Ovis aries: one gene and its partners. The protein of the gene in region 2 interacts with the protein of the main gene of each other region in a biochemical or structural test. Links are inferred from orthologs where the notes say so. Each region holds a gene or a part of one and is shown on either strand. Other genes may lie near its edges.

Region 1 (3,791 bases), on a different chromosome or scaffold from region 2:
CCACCAAAAAAGCGCCACATAATTATCTTATACCTACAAAGTCCAAAAGAAGGGCAAAATGCAATGGTCAATGTTATTCCATTCAGTCTTTGTTATACTGCATCCTAAAGGATAGAGGCTCTGAGTTACGGAAGATATTTTCAAAAATCTAAAAAGACTTTTAAAAAGTTACTTTCCTTTATAAAACTATTTAATTAAGTAGATTTTTATAACCCAAACTCAAATACATTCAGATTTGTTTCTCTTTTCTTTTTAATTTTCTACAACTTCATAATAAATGCCAGTATAAGATGCTACACCTTACCAGAAAACCAGATGAATTATCTAGCAGACACCTGAGTCGGCAGATGAAGCACCTCTCCATAAACGAAGAGTTCTCTGGAGGAATCTGGTCTGGGTCATAATACATGGCTGGCTGGGAGAGTCCATTAGCTTCTATAGAAATAAATAGCAACGCAAAGTTACTTTCTGTTTTGCTAAAAATTAAGTATTTGGGCTTCTCAGGTAGTCCTAGTGCTAAAGAACCCACCTGCCAGGGCAAGAGACATAAAAGACATGTGTTCGGTCCCTGGGTTGGGAAGATTCCCTGAGGGAGGGCCTGGCAACCCACTTCAGTATTCTTGCCTGGAGAATCCCATGGACCGAAGAGCCAGGCAGGCTACAGTCCACGAGGTCACAAAGAGTCAGAAACAACTGAGCAACTTAGCACAGCACAGCACAAGTGTCTGAATAGCTGAAATCTGTGTTCATTTCTAAACCAAAGCTATATTCTGATTATTAAAAAAAATCACTTTCAGAAGAGAAGCTAGTGAAAAGAAATTAAAACTTATTGAATAATACTTTTACTACATAGAACTTTACCTATTCAGCTGCTTTTATTTCTACTGAGCTATCACTGTCAACAATTTCTATATTTTCTAACACCTTTTTTCTCCTTTTTAACATTTTTACATATGTATGAAGACACTGCTTTTGTTGAAAAAAGTATTTTTTAATTCCTCCATCTGCCAGTTTGCTTTTATATTTGGTGCATTTTAAACCCAGAACAATCTATACACACTCCAGAATTAACCTTGTACATTCCATCCCCTCTTTCACAATAATGTAAGAATTATTTTTATACACTATATTACTGAGTATATGGCTATACTTTATCACTTGGAATTCATCAATGGCTGTCATCTCTCGAGGTCCTCCTTAGGTCATCAGGCTTCTTGTGACCTGGTTCTGGCCCACGGCTAGAGATTCATGTCTTTCCCCTTCTTCCTCATCTTCACTGTGGAGTTCCATGCCCCTAAAGATTCTCTGCCTCCTTTCAGAGAATTCAATTCCCAACACTACCTTTTGGTAAACATTCTTACCATCAATTCTTTGTCCGGAGTCTGGACACTGTTGGGGATTTAATGCCCAGTGCAGCTGGCGCTGAAATTCAGCTCGGTCTTCGGTATGGATCAGTTCATACACACTCTGATGGATGACATCAGACTAAAGAAAAAAGAAACAAAGAAATTAACAAGTAGTGCTGATTTTTAAATGAACGTCCGTGGTGCCTCAGTGGTAAATAATCTGCCTACCAATGCAGGCGACACAGGAGATGTGGGTTCAATCCCCAGACTGCGAAGATCCTCTGGAGGAGGAAATGGCAACCCACCCCACTATTCTTGCCTGGAGAATCCCAAGGACAGAGGAGCCTAGCAGGCTACAGTCCATAGGGTTGCAGGGTCGGATGTGACTGAGTGACGGAGCACGCATACACTGATTTTTAAAAATGTGGTTTATTAATTTCAAAACCTAGTTGCTCGATTACAGGGTGCTTTTTAGTGGTGATGTATGCAAATCAAACAATTGCAACGCTCTCCTGGAATTAAAAACAAGAAAAGCTAGAACGACACAAGCACTACAGCTGACAAATCAAAGGTTATTTGTCATCGCTTCCCTATGTGAACCACTTTTTAGTCAAATAAGTCACGTTCCTGTTCCTTAACTGCAACACGTGAGGTTCTGCTGATTTTTATTTATTGATCTTTTAAAATAGAGCCTCTTATACAGAGTGAAGTAAGTCAGAAAGAGAAACACAAGTATCATATATTAACACATATATATGGAATCTAGAAAAACAGTACTGATGAACCTAGTAGAGAATGAACTTGCGGACACAGCAGGGGAAGGTGCAGAAGGGACGAACTGAGAGAAGAGCACTGATACATACATGCTATCATGTGCAGAACCGGCAGTGGGGAGTTGCTACACACCACAGGGAGCCCAGCCTGGCGCTCTGTGATGACCTAGAGGGCTGGGGAGAGGGGAGGGAGGCTTACGAGGAAGGGGGTACATATATATAAAATTATGACGGATTTGCATTGTTGTACAGCAGAAACCACACAACATTGTAGGACAATTTTCCACCAATTAAATTTTTAAAAAAAATCTTCCTTTGACAAAACTTGTCTGAACATTCAGTTAAATTTGACTTCCCTCAGCTTGAAGTATTACATATTTCCTTCCCTGCTCTCTAACAATTTTCCTGACATGAAATTTTGACTTCTAGTAGATTCCCTAAGATTAAGGGATATTGCCTTTACAAAGGTCAGAGTCTTTCCTCCACCTCTTGCTTCTCAGCATTTACTACAGTGCTGAGACCTTAGCCTTTCCACCATTAGTGTTCTAACTTTTTTATTGCAACTCACAGCAAGAAATATTTTCCATCCCTTGTGTGTGTTTGTTTGTGCGCATATAGACATGGAAAAAAGTTCCACAGAGAGCTTTTATGTGTGACAATATTGTGTTTCCTATTTTATTTGAAGCAGCTAAAAAGAATGACTGGTGATCCTCTGTATCAATTTCATCAACCACTCATGAGTCATGACCTGCAGTTTTAGAAATGGTGCCATAAACCACCATCAATGTCAGATATAAATGTTTTCTTAAAGAATATCCAGGTTAGGTATAGATATGAAGAAAAAAAAAACAGATTGGGAAATAGCTAAGCTTTTTTATTTCTTAACTGTTATGAATCAATCAAATAATAATTAAGCTAGTTATGTAATGAAGTTTCTAACAGGTTTTTCCATGGACATTAATACATTTCCTTTAAAATTCAAAAATACTTAGGTCTGGTGTCAGGAGCCAGATTCCACCTCTTTAGCTATCCGGACTTGAACCTTCCTATGAACCTTTTCTTCTAACATGAAGTCATCTCTGTGCCATTCATTACACAACTGCCAGAGTTATCTTATGAAATATAGATTGGAGCACATGCATTCCCTTCAACAAAAGTATTTAGTGGCTTCTATAGTGTGTATGACATAATTTAAACTTCAGGCCATATAACAGTGAAGACAGTGTTATTCGACATCAGTCTTGGCATCACCTGTTGAGCCTGTTAGAAATAAAATACATGGGCTCCACTATGACATACTGAATTAGATTATATGGGACTGACACTCATCAATTTAATGACGTTTTTTCAGTGATTCTTAAGAACATTAGAAATTAAGAACTACTGATATGTAACAGTAGCGAGCATTCAAGGGTACTTACAAACTGTTCCCAAATCATATTGGATGTTTTCGCCCCTCAAATACACAGAACACCTTATGAATCCATATTCACCATATACTTAGTAACATTAAACCAGACACACTTACCTCCTTCAAGGCCTTCCAGCCTACTACCTAGAGTATGGGTAGCTCTTCTCTGCATTCCCTCCACAACTGTCCACTCATCTGGAGCCCACAATCTCTTCAGATTAAATACCATTTCCTTCAGGAAAACTTTTATAATCCACACAA
Region 2 (4,271 bases):
AAAAGCGAGAGAGACATCCAAAGTAGGTCGAATAAATAATCCTCTTCTTTTCCTCTTTCTTGCTCCTTCTTCTGCTTCTTCTGCTATAACACACAGAGCTAGTTAAAAAAACCCTGGAGATCGCCCAAAAATGTTCTTTTTTTAGTATTTTAAATAAGTGCTCTTCAGCCGGGAACCAACACCCTCCCTCCAAAAAAAATCATATATGTATAAAATAACGATAAGAAGAATACGAAAGGGGTGCCTCCTCCTCCTCTCTCTCTCTCTCTCTCTCTTTTTTTTTAAGTTTAGCCCTCACTCTTCTGCAGGAATGGAGTAAAAGAGAGGAGGAGGGAGAAAAAGGAGAAAAAGAAGAATACGGGGAAACAACTAATAGAATATGTAAGAAAAGAGAAAGGGGAGAGAGGAGAGAGAAAGAGAGATTGAGAGAGAGAGAGAGGCGGAGGAGAGAGAGAGAGGAGAGAGAGAGAGAGAGAAGAGAGAGAGACCCCAAAATTGAATGCGTTTAAACGGGAGGACTCGCAGAGCAGTGTTTCCGAAAGGGGGATCTGTGCGAATGTCTGTATATAGTGAACTTTGACACTACTATTGAAACTGACACGTTTCTATGGAGATCGCTGCCTTATATGGAGCTCGTGTCAAGGAGCCAAGAGAAGGGCTGCTGGCAACTGATAATCAAAGGCGACTGACTGGTCAGAGCCCTGAATCGGGGGGAGAGAAAATGGGAGGCTAAGGTTAGCCAAGCCTCCTGCACGCCATTGGTTGGAGAGCCCCTCCCCCCTCCTCTTTTTCTTTCTTTCTTTTTTTTTTCTTTCCCCTCCCTCTCAGCTACCTACTGACGGGGATGGCGAGGGGAGGAGGAAAGAAAGTGTGTGTGTGGGGGGGTGTGCTTCTGACAAGCGCAATTTACATTGAGATCGCCCTGCGCTGCTATTTACTCTGAGACCTGATTAGTATGGGTCGTCTATGGTCACACACACACACACACACACGCACACACACACACATACACCAACACCAGAGGGGGAAGGGACGGCGAGGGGAAGAATGCCTTGCAATGGGTAAAAAAAGAGAATCAGGCATTATTTTGTTTTCTTCTGAAAAGTTTTTAAATTTAGCTTTTATGAGCATGAAGACGATCATTGGAAATGTTAGGAAAATTTTAAATGGGAATTAAAACTCTTACCGTTCTAACGAGTCCTGAAAAATATTCTGGGTTTGTATTGTTTTGTGTTTTCACATACAAGCACAGCCCTAGAGTAGATTCTGCTCATTTTATATTCCTTTAAGAAACAAAGTAGGGACTTGCTGGCTTTTTTTCTCCCCCACCTTGATCCAACGTATATTTTGGTTTTAAAATGAAAGGTTCAATTATGACAAAAAGCACTCCTGGAATTCGCAGAAATTGCCCCCCAAATCAGTCCGAATCAATGGTTCCTCTTCATCCCAAAGGTGATGTTTAAAATAAACTCCCCCCCCCCCGATTTTTCCTTTTTTTCCTTCCCCTTTTTGATATCCTCAGGCTGTTTTAACCTCCAAAGAACGCTCCAATAATTGTTAATAAAAGAGTAGTAAGTTCTCATATTGCTGCGGGGGGGGGGGGCGGTCAGTGCGGGCCGAGTCCGAGTCCCAGGAAAAGGGGGAAAAGGGTGAGAGAGAAGGGATGAAGATGGGGAAGGGAGGTGGGGATGAGGAGGGTGGGGGGGGCGAGAGAGGGAAGAAAGGACGGGGAGAGAGAGAGAGAGATAGGGGAAGAGGGAGGGGGCAGAGAGAGGGAAAGAGGGGAGAGACCCCCGGTTCCCAAAGGCGATTGGTCGCCAGAGGAGGCCCGGGCGGGAGGAGCGGGTCCCGCCGCGAGGCCTGCAGGAATCGCTGGCTCCGGCTGCCACCTAGCGGACGGGAGCCGCGTCCCGGAGACGCGCGGTCGGGTCCCCTCCTCCTCCCCGCCTCCTCCTCCCGGCACGCAGCCCTGTGCCTTTTCTGCAAACCAAGACACAGCACTTTGAAAATTCTTTCAATGGATTTTTTTTTTTCCCTCCTCCTTCTTCCTTGAAAGATCGTACTGAGGGAAAATGATACTTCTATTAGTTACATATTCTCCAATCGCACACTCGCATCTTTCCCCCCCACCCCACCACCTCCTCGTTCTGCGATCGCTCCCCTAGGCAGGCTCAGGCGGGCGCGCAGCGGCGCCGAGTGACAAAGCCGCCGCCCGCAGCCGCCGGGGGGTGCGGAGCTGCGCGCCTGCCTGCCGCCCCTCGACTCTGGAGAGCGTCAAAGTTGTCTCAGCTCCAGCACCCCCGAGCCTCCACACGCCCTCAGGTGAAGGTGGGAGTAAAAAAAAAGGCCACGCTGTTATTGCCGGAGGTAGGGTTTGTGTGTTTTAATACTCGTTCTCCCTTTAAATGTCATCAGGGAGGGGGTTTGGGGGAAGCGCTGCCCCTTCGGGGTGCGTTTTGCGCTTCCCGGTCTCTCTCCAGTCCTACTGAGAGTCAGGAACCTGGCGACCGCTTAGTGTCGAGCGACGATGCGAAAGAGCAGAATAAAGGCTTTCCTGTGTCTTGCCCCCCCGCCCCGCTGCCCCGCAGCCCCTCCAGTTCGAATAATGAAGGGACACAGTCCATGCACTCTGCAAGCAGCCGCCCCATTGTACGCTTCAGGGGAGGCGACGGGGGGCCAGCGAGAGCTCCTTGCCCTTTCTCGTCTCCCCAAATAATCGCGCCGAAGTCTCCTGGTCAGTTAAAAGGTGAAACGAGAACACGATTAAAAGAACAAAAAAAAAAAAAAAAAAAAAAGGAAGGAAAGAGGAAAAAAAAGAAGGAAAGAAGGAAGCAAAAGAATGAGTTTTCTCATATGAATTCTAAATGTTCCTACTCATAGAGTACAAAGGCAGGCAGTCGAGGGCAGAGGAAGCAGGCAGAGAGGGAGACCGGGAGAAGGAAAAGAGAACTTGGAAAGAGACGGAGCGAGTGCAAGAGGCAGCGCGAAGCGAGCGCCAGGGAACCGGAGGCTCCCCGCGCCTGGACGCCCTGCTCTCGGGCCCGGCCGCCCTCGGACCCAGGACCGGAAGTCTTGGGCGCCAGAAGCCAGAGCCGGCCCATCTCTGCCGCACCAGGCAAGTAAGGCGATGATTATCGTTTCTTTTGAACTCGGGGTGGTTGTTGCAACGCGGACAGGCCGGGAGGCAGCGATTGCTCGCACGGGTTCCGCAGGCCGGGGGGCGGGGGCGGTGCCCTCGGTCTAGCCAGAGGGGAGGGTCGAGAAGAACTTATCGCGGGGGGGCCTGCTCCGGAGCCGCCCTCCCCCCGGCCTCTGTCCCGCGGCGGCGTGGAGAACAGGGATCGCTGCCCGCGGGGCCGCCCCGGAGCTGAGGATCGCGCCCCACCGAGCATCGGCCCAGATTCAAAACTGATTGCCCTCCCATCTCCATTTGCCACCCTCCTCCCCACCAGCGGGAAGAGGCTGCGGAGCCTCTTGGAGGAGGGGGGGCAGACGGAGGGTCCACAGGTTGGGCAATCCGCGCCGCCGCCCCTCAACCCCCGCCCGCCCCAAACCCCCTTGGCGGGTGCCAAGCCGGAGCCGCTGTGGAGTCGGCTCGTAGCCCGCGCCTTGCCCGGCTGCAGCCAGGCCCGGGTGAGCTCGGCTCCCGCTGCCCACCTGCGGACGCCGTTTGCAACGGGATCCCCCTAATGTAACGCGATCGATGGCTGACTGTTTGATGTGGGTGAGAGCGTCAGCGGATTAAAAGGGACCCCCAAGCCGCTCTCCCGAGCGGAGAACCCGCGGCGGCGGCGGCGGCGAGAGAGCCCGAGATCTGCAGCCAGCCCAGCAACCAGGGGACGGGGCCGGGGGCGGGGGCGGGGGCGGGGGCGGGGAGGGGTCACTTCCCCCGGGGGTGAGGACTGAGCCCGAGTGCATGAAAGGAAGAGCCGCAATTAAAACCGACCAGCGAGCTCTCCGCGCAGGGCAGGGGCGCGCGTTTGCGTCAGAGGGCGCGCAGGGCGGGCGCGAGGGGGCGGGAGGAGCCGACGCCGGGGGCCGCGCCCGAGGGCTGGGTGGGCGCGGGAAGGAGCCCGCGGAGCTGCCTTGGCCTTCCCTTGGCCGGGCGGGCTAGGGGCTAAGGCGGGGCTGGAGGACGAGCGGCGGCTCCCCGAGAGCCGTGGGGGCCCATACACCCTCTCTAAGGGGCTTCTTCCTGCCGGCCCCCCTACCCTGAGCTTCCAAACTTGGAAGAGGCCCAGGGGGGATCCGGCGTGCCCCGGGGGTGCTGG
Region 3 (3,791 bases), on a different chromosome or scaffold from region 2:
AGAAATAAACAAGGCAACCGTCAGTACCACTAGTCTTAGTGGCTGATCTTAGTCTCAGATAGAGATTCCTCCCTGGAACAGTGACTGATAATTTTGAGAAGTTTCCAATCTCCAGGTCTTTGGTCAGTCTGCACCTGGCATTTCCTGCCAAATGGATTTATTACCTTGCCAATCATAGTAGACAAATCTCCATCACTCAGAAGAGGATTCTGAGAATCTCCAACTCGAGATGGATCTTTTGTTGCTTTATCATTGCTGAAAGTTCTCCACTCAGATCCTACATCGATAACTCGGTCACCTAAGAATATAAATGGAAATCTGAATTGTCTCGTCAAGATAGGATTTATTTAACACAGCCTAGTGCCCAACTTATTTCTTTTATTCCCAGAAAATCTCAACACAAACATCAGGCTTCAGCTTAAGTATCTTGTCTTCAGACTTTTATCTTAAAGTATTCCTATTGTGACAGTTCTATAATAACCCTCTTTAAACATTATGCTATGATTAGCTGTATTTTAACTCCTGGAATAAAGAAGTAGACAAAATAAAGACAAAAATAAAGTTAATCAAGTGAGAAAAAGATAAAGTAACAATGAAGAATCAAGATTTGAAAAAAAAAGAATAAAGATTTGAACAAAACGTGCAACAGGCACAGAAATAAAAACCAGAAAACACTGTTCATGATGTTATTAATATACAGTTTAAAGAAATTACAAAGTTTTCATGGGCAATGCTCTGCAAAGAACTAAGCCTAAGGGGATACTTTAGTAACTATTTGAAAATATTGAAAATATTTGGGGGTCAAATAATTCATACAGAATAAACTTAAGCCTAGAATCAGTAAGCAAAAAGGTAGGTAAACTTTTATTTTTACACAAAGAAGCAGTGGCTAAAAACGCCAGGCCAAGAAACCAGACAGGTAGATTTGGTGTAGATTACTGCTTTGAGGGGAATGCTCAACAGCTGGTAATACCTCTACCACAGACAAGCGTTAACAAGAACACCTGCATTTGCCAGTCACTGTGCCCTTTGTAAATGTTATTTTTCAATCCTTAAAGCTTTATAAAAATAGGTATCACTTTTATTGCCACATTAAAAATAAAATTAATTTGCCTAACATCACACAACTAGAACTGAAATGAGAATGGGATTCCAGAATCTGTTCTATACTGCATTTATAAAACATTAGCTTTTCACCAATGTGATAAAATTAAAAGCAGGAACCAGGCCATTTTCATCTGTGCCTATATATAGCAAACAGAAAGGAATGGAAGAAATAAGTTATCTCAGTAGTTAAAAAAAAGTTGATATTGACAGTCAATTAATATAATGGTTAACAGTATGGACTCTATCAGTTGCTGTTTAGCCTTGGACAAACTTCCTCATTTCTACAGTAGTGCAATGATTCAGCTTTAAATTTCCCCAATTACCTTATTTTAAATAAATTAATACAGTTTCAATCCATATGAAGTGCTTAAAAACCAGTTCAAAGTAAGTTGCTTGATATTAGCTATTTAATGCTATAAAAATAAGATGACATTCTGACAGTTTGTTATTAATTCTGAATAAGAAGAGCACCAGTTGTAAAACATTAACCTCCATACTAGACAAGTATCAGAGTGCTCTGCTGCAGTATTTGGTATGTAGGACAGCAAAGGAGGTGGGGAGAGAACAGAGGAACTCAATGCAGACTACTGAACTTTTTATATATGGTAAACTAAAATGCTTATTGGAGAAGGCAATGGCACCCCACTCCAGTACTCTTGCCTGGAAAATCCCATGGACGGAGGAGCCTGGTAGGCTGCAGTCCATGGGGTCACTAAGAGTTATTAAACAGAGTAGAGTGATCTGACCTTAGGGTTTTAGTTTAGAAAACAAGTAAATACATAACAGAATCATTCCTGATGATTTGGGGCAGACTTTTTCTTCTTTTGAATACTCAAATCACTTAGGAATAACCAGATCTCACTTGGACTACCACATGTCCATGTCATAAGACAAGTGCGATAGAGATAGGAACACCACTTGCCACACCTTAGGCAGTGAAAATGGCCAAGGAAAGCAGAAGCTAAATCAGGTAAGGCAACTTCTGTGGATCAGAGATTCAGCAGGCGGCCCAAAATAAGGAGAAAAAGTTACATTAATGGGATGGTCAAGATGCATTTCTCTGTTTCCTCCTAATAAGGGCAAACATCACTAAACATGAGAAGCAATTCTAATTATGTAAATTAATAATGAGTTTTAAAACTTACCTGACATTAATGTAAAATCTGTAACTGTGCAGAGTTTTACTACAATACTAAGCAAGGCCCATGTCTCAGAGAGACTACTCTAAAGAGACTGATTTTTGTTCCTTTTACAGAAGAGTAGCTGCTTACAAGAAACAGTTATATAAGCAAATTAAAATTACCTGTATTCCCAACACCCAAAGATAGCCACTGTCAATACTTTGGCATATATTTTCTCTTCCATTCACCTGTATACATACTTTTTTTGTGAGATTAAAATTATAGTGTCTATTTCATTACAAGCTCTTTTCACTAAATTTCTAATCAAAACACCAAAACAAAACTTTTAGACATAGTTTAGCCCTTTCAATAGTATCCACTCCTCAAAGTGTTGCCAGTCTCCATTCTTCATATTTTCAACGGAAGAAAAGTGAATCTAACTTTACTAATCAGTAAAATAAAACCACACAACAAAAACTACTGCAGCCTTCAAATCTAGATTTACTTAAAAATTTAAGTAAAAAAAATCAAATGCTATCATTAACTTTCAACACTTTAATTAACACAATGGATGTATGAAGAGACTACTTTCCTTATCTTTACTAGCATCTTTTCAGTCTCTCTGGAACACTAAAGATACAGTACTAGTTTGCTAGTAGTATGCTTCACTTCATAGCATTTTCCTTTTGACCAGAAATTAACTTACCATGAGTTTCTTTTGTGGTTGCTTTTACTGCCTCAAAAAAGTTGGATTAGGAGAGGAAAAAAAAAAGTTGGCCTAGGATAGTATAAATAGAAAGCCCAGAACTGGGTAGTGATGTAATTTTTCCACATACGTGGGGATGGTCTACATGACTCATTCAACAATCTGTGGTTTGTGCTCAGAGTCATTCCCTCTTTTTATACTTTACTGCTCAAAACATAGCATTTATAGAAAATAAAATTTCCAAAATAACTCAAATAGCACATCATGAAGCTACAACTAGACCATCAGATTATCTGCATGAGTAATAAGAAATACAGCAGATCATTCAGAAAAAAAGTCAGAACACATAAAAGATCTTCTTGAAGCACATCTAAATGCGGTCGCACTTTTTAACGTTGCTCTGGAAGGAAACTGCATTAGAGTCTTTTCAGGGAGTAGTGTACAAGGCAGCCGTACTGTTTAGGTATAGTCAACCTCTGACAAGCAGAAGCCCGATAATTAGCACATAAGTGCATAACATACGACCTCACATAGCCTTTTACTGTTCTACAAACAGAGAAACAAGCCAACTTTTAAGTTCCTTTTTAAACCACACCCTGATTGTTATAAAATCAACAACAGATAAAAAGTCTATATATAAAATTTAACAGCAAAATCATAGCACTACTACAATATATATAATAGCACTATTCCTCCCTCCATCTATATTATGTGATCTCTTAACACTCTGATAAGTTCCCATCCAAAAAGGTAGAGATTCAATATGTATACACACATGCACAGTTCTCAATCCACATTATCAGAAAGGTGTCTAGAGAGTATTAACTAAGACATTTTACTATATTCTAAAGCAGTGA

What was found.
Region 1: the proteins of NR2F1 (region 2) and AHR form a complex in vitro, tested with the Homo sapiens proteins (2 studies listed by BioGRID). The link is inferred for Ovis aries from reciprocal best matches to the Homo sapiens genes NR2F1 and AHR.
Region 3: the proteins of NR2F1 (region 2) and GTF2B form a complex in vitro, tested with the Homo sapiens proteins (2 studies listed by BioGRID and IntAct). The link is inferred for Ovis aries from reciprocal best matches to the Homo sapiens genes NR2F1 and GTF2B.

The regions. Positions count from the first base shown.
Region 1 is NC_056057.1:26,815,081-26,818,871, reverse strand, and holds part of AHR (aryl hydrocarbon receptor), read right to left. Parts: intron 1,486-3,791; coding exon 1,362-1,485; intron 436-1,361; coding exon 305-435; intron 1-304. UniProt on the Homo sapiens protein: Ligand-activated transcription factor that enables cells to adapt to changing conditions by sensing compounds from the environment, diet, microbiome and cellular metabolism, and which plays important roles in development, immunity and cancer.
Region 2 is NC_056058.1:90,688,503-90,692,773, reverse strand, and holds the start of NR2F1 (COUP transcription factor 1), read right to left. Parts: upstream 3,074-4,271; 5' UTR 1-3,073. UniProt on the Homo sapiens protein: Coup (chicken ovalbumin upstream promoter) transcription factor binds to the ovalbumin promoter and, in conjunction with another protein (S300-II) stimulates initiation of transcription. Binds to both direct repeats and palindromes of the 5'-AGGTCA-3' motif.
Region 3 is NC_056054.1:66,102,700-66,106,490, forward strand, and holds part of GTF2B (transcription initiation factor IIB), read right to left. Parts: intron 299-3,791; coding exon 165-298; intron 1-164. UniProt on the Homo sapiens protein: General transcription factor that plays a role in transcription initiation by RNA polymerase II (Pol II). Involved in the pre-initiation complex (PIC) formation and Pol II recruitment at promoter DNA.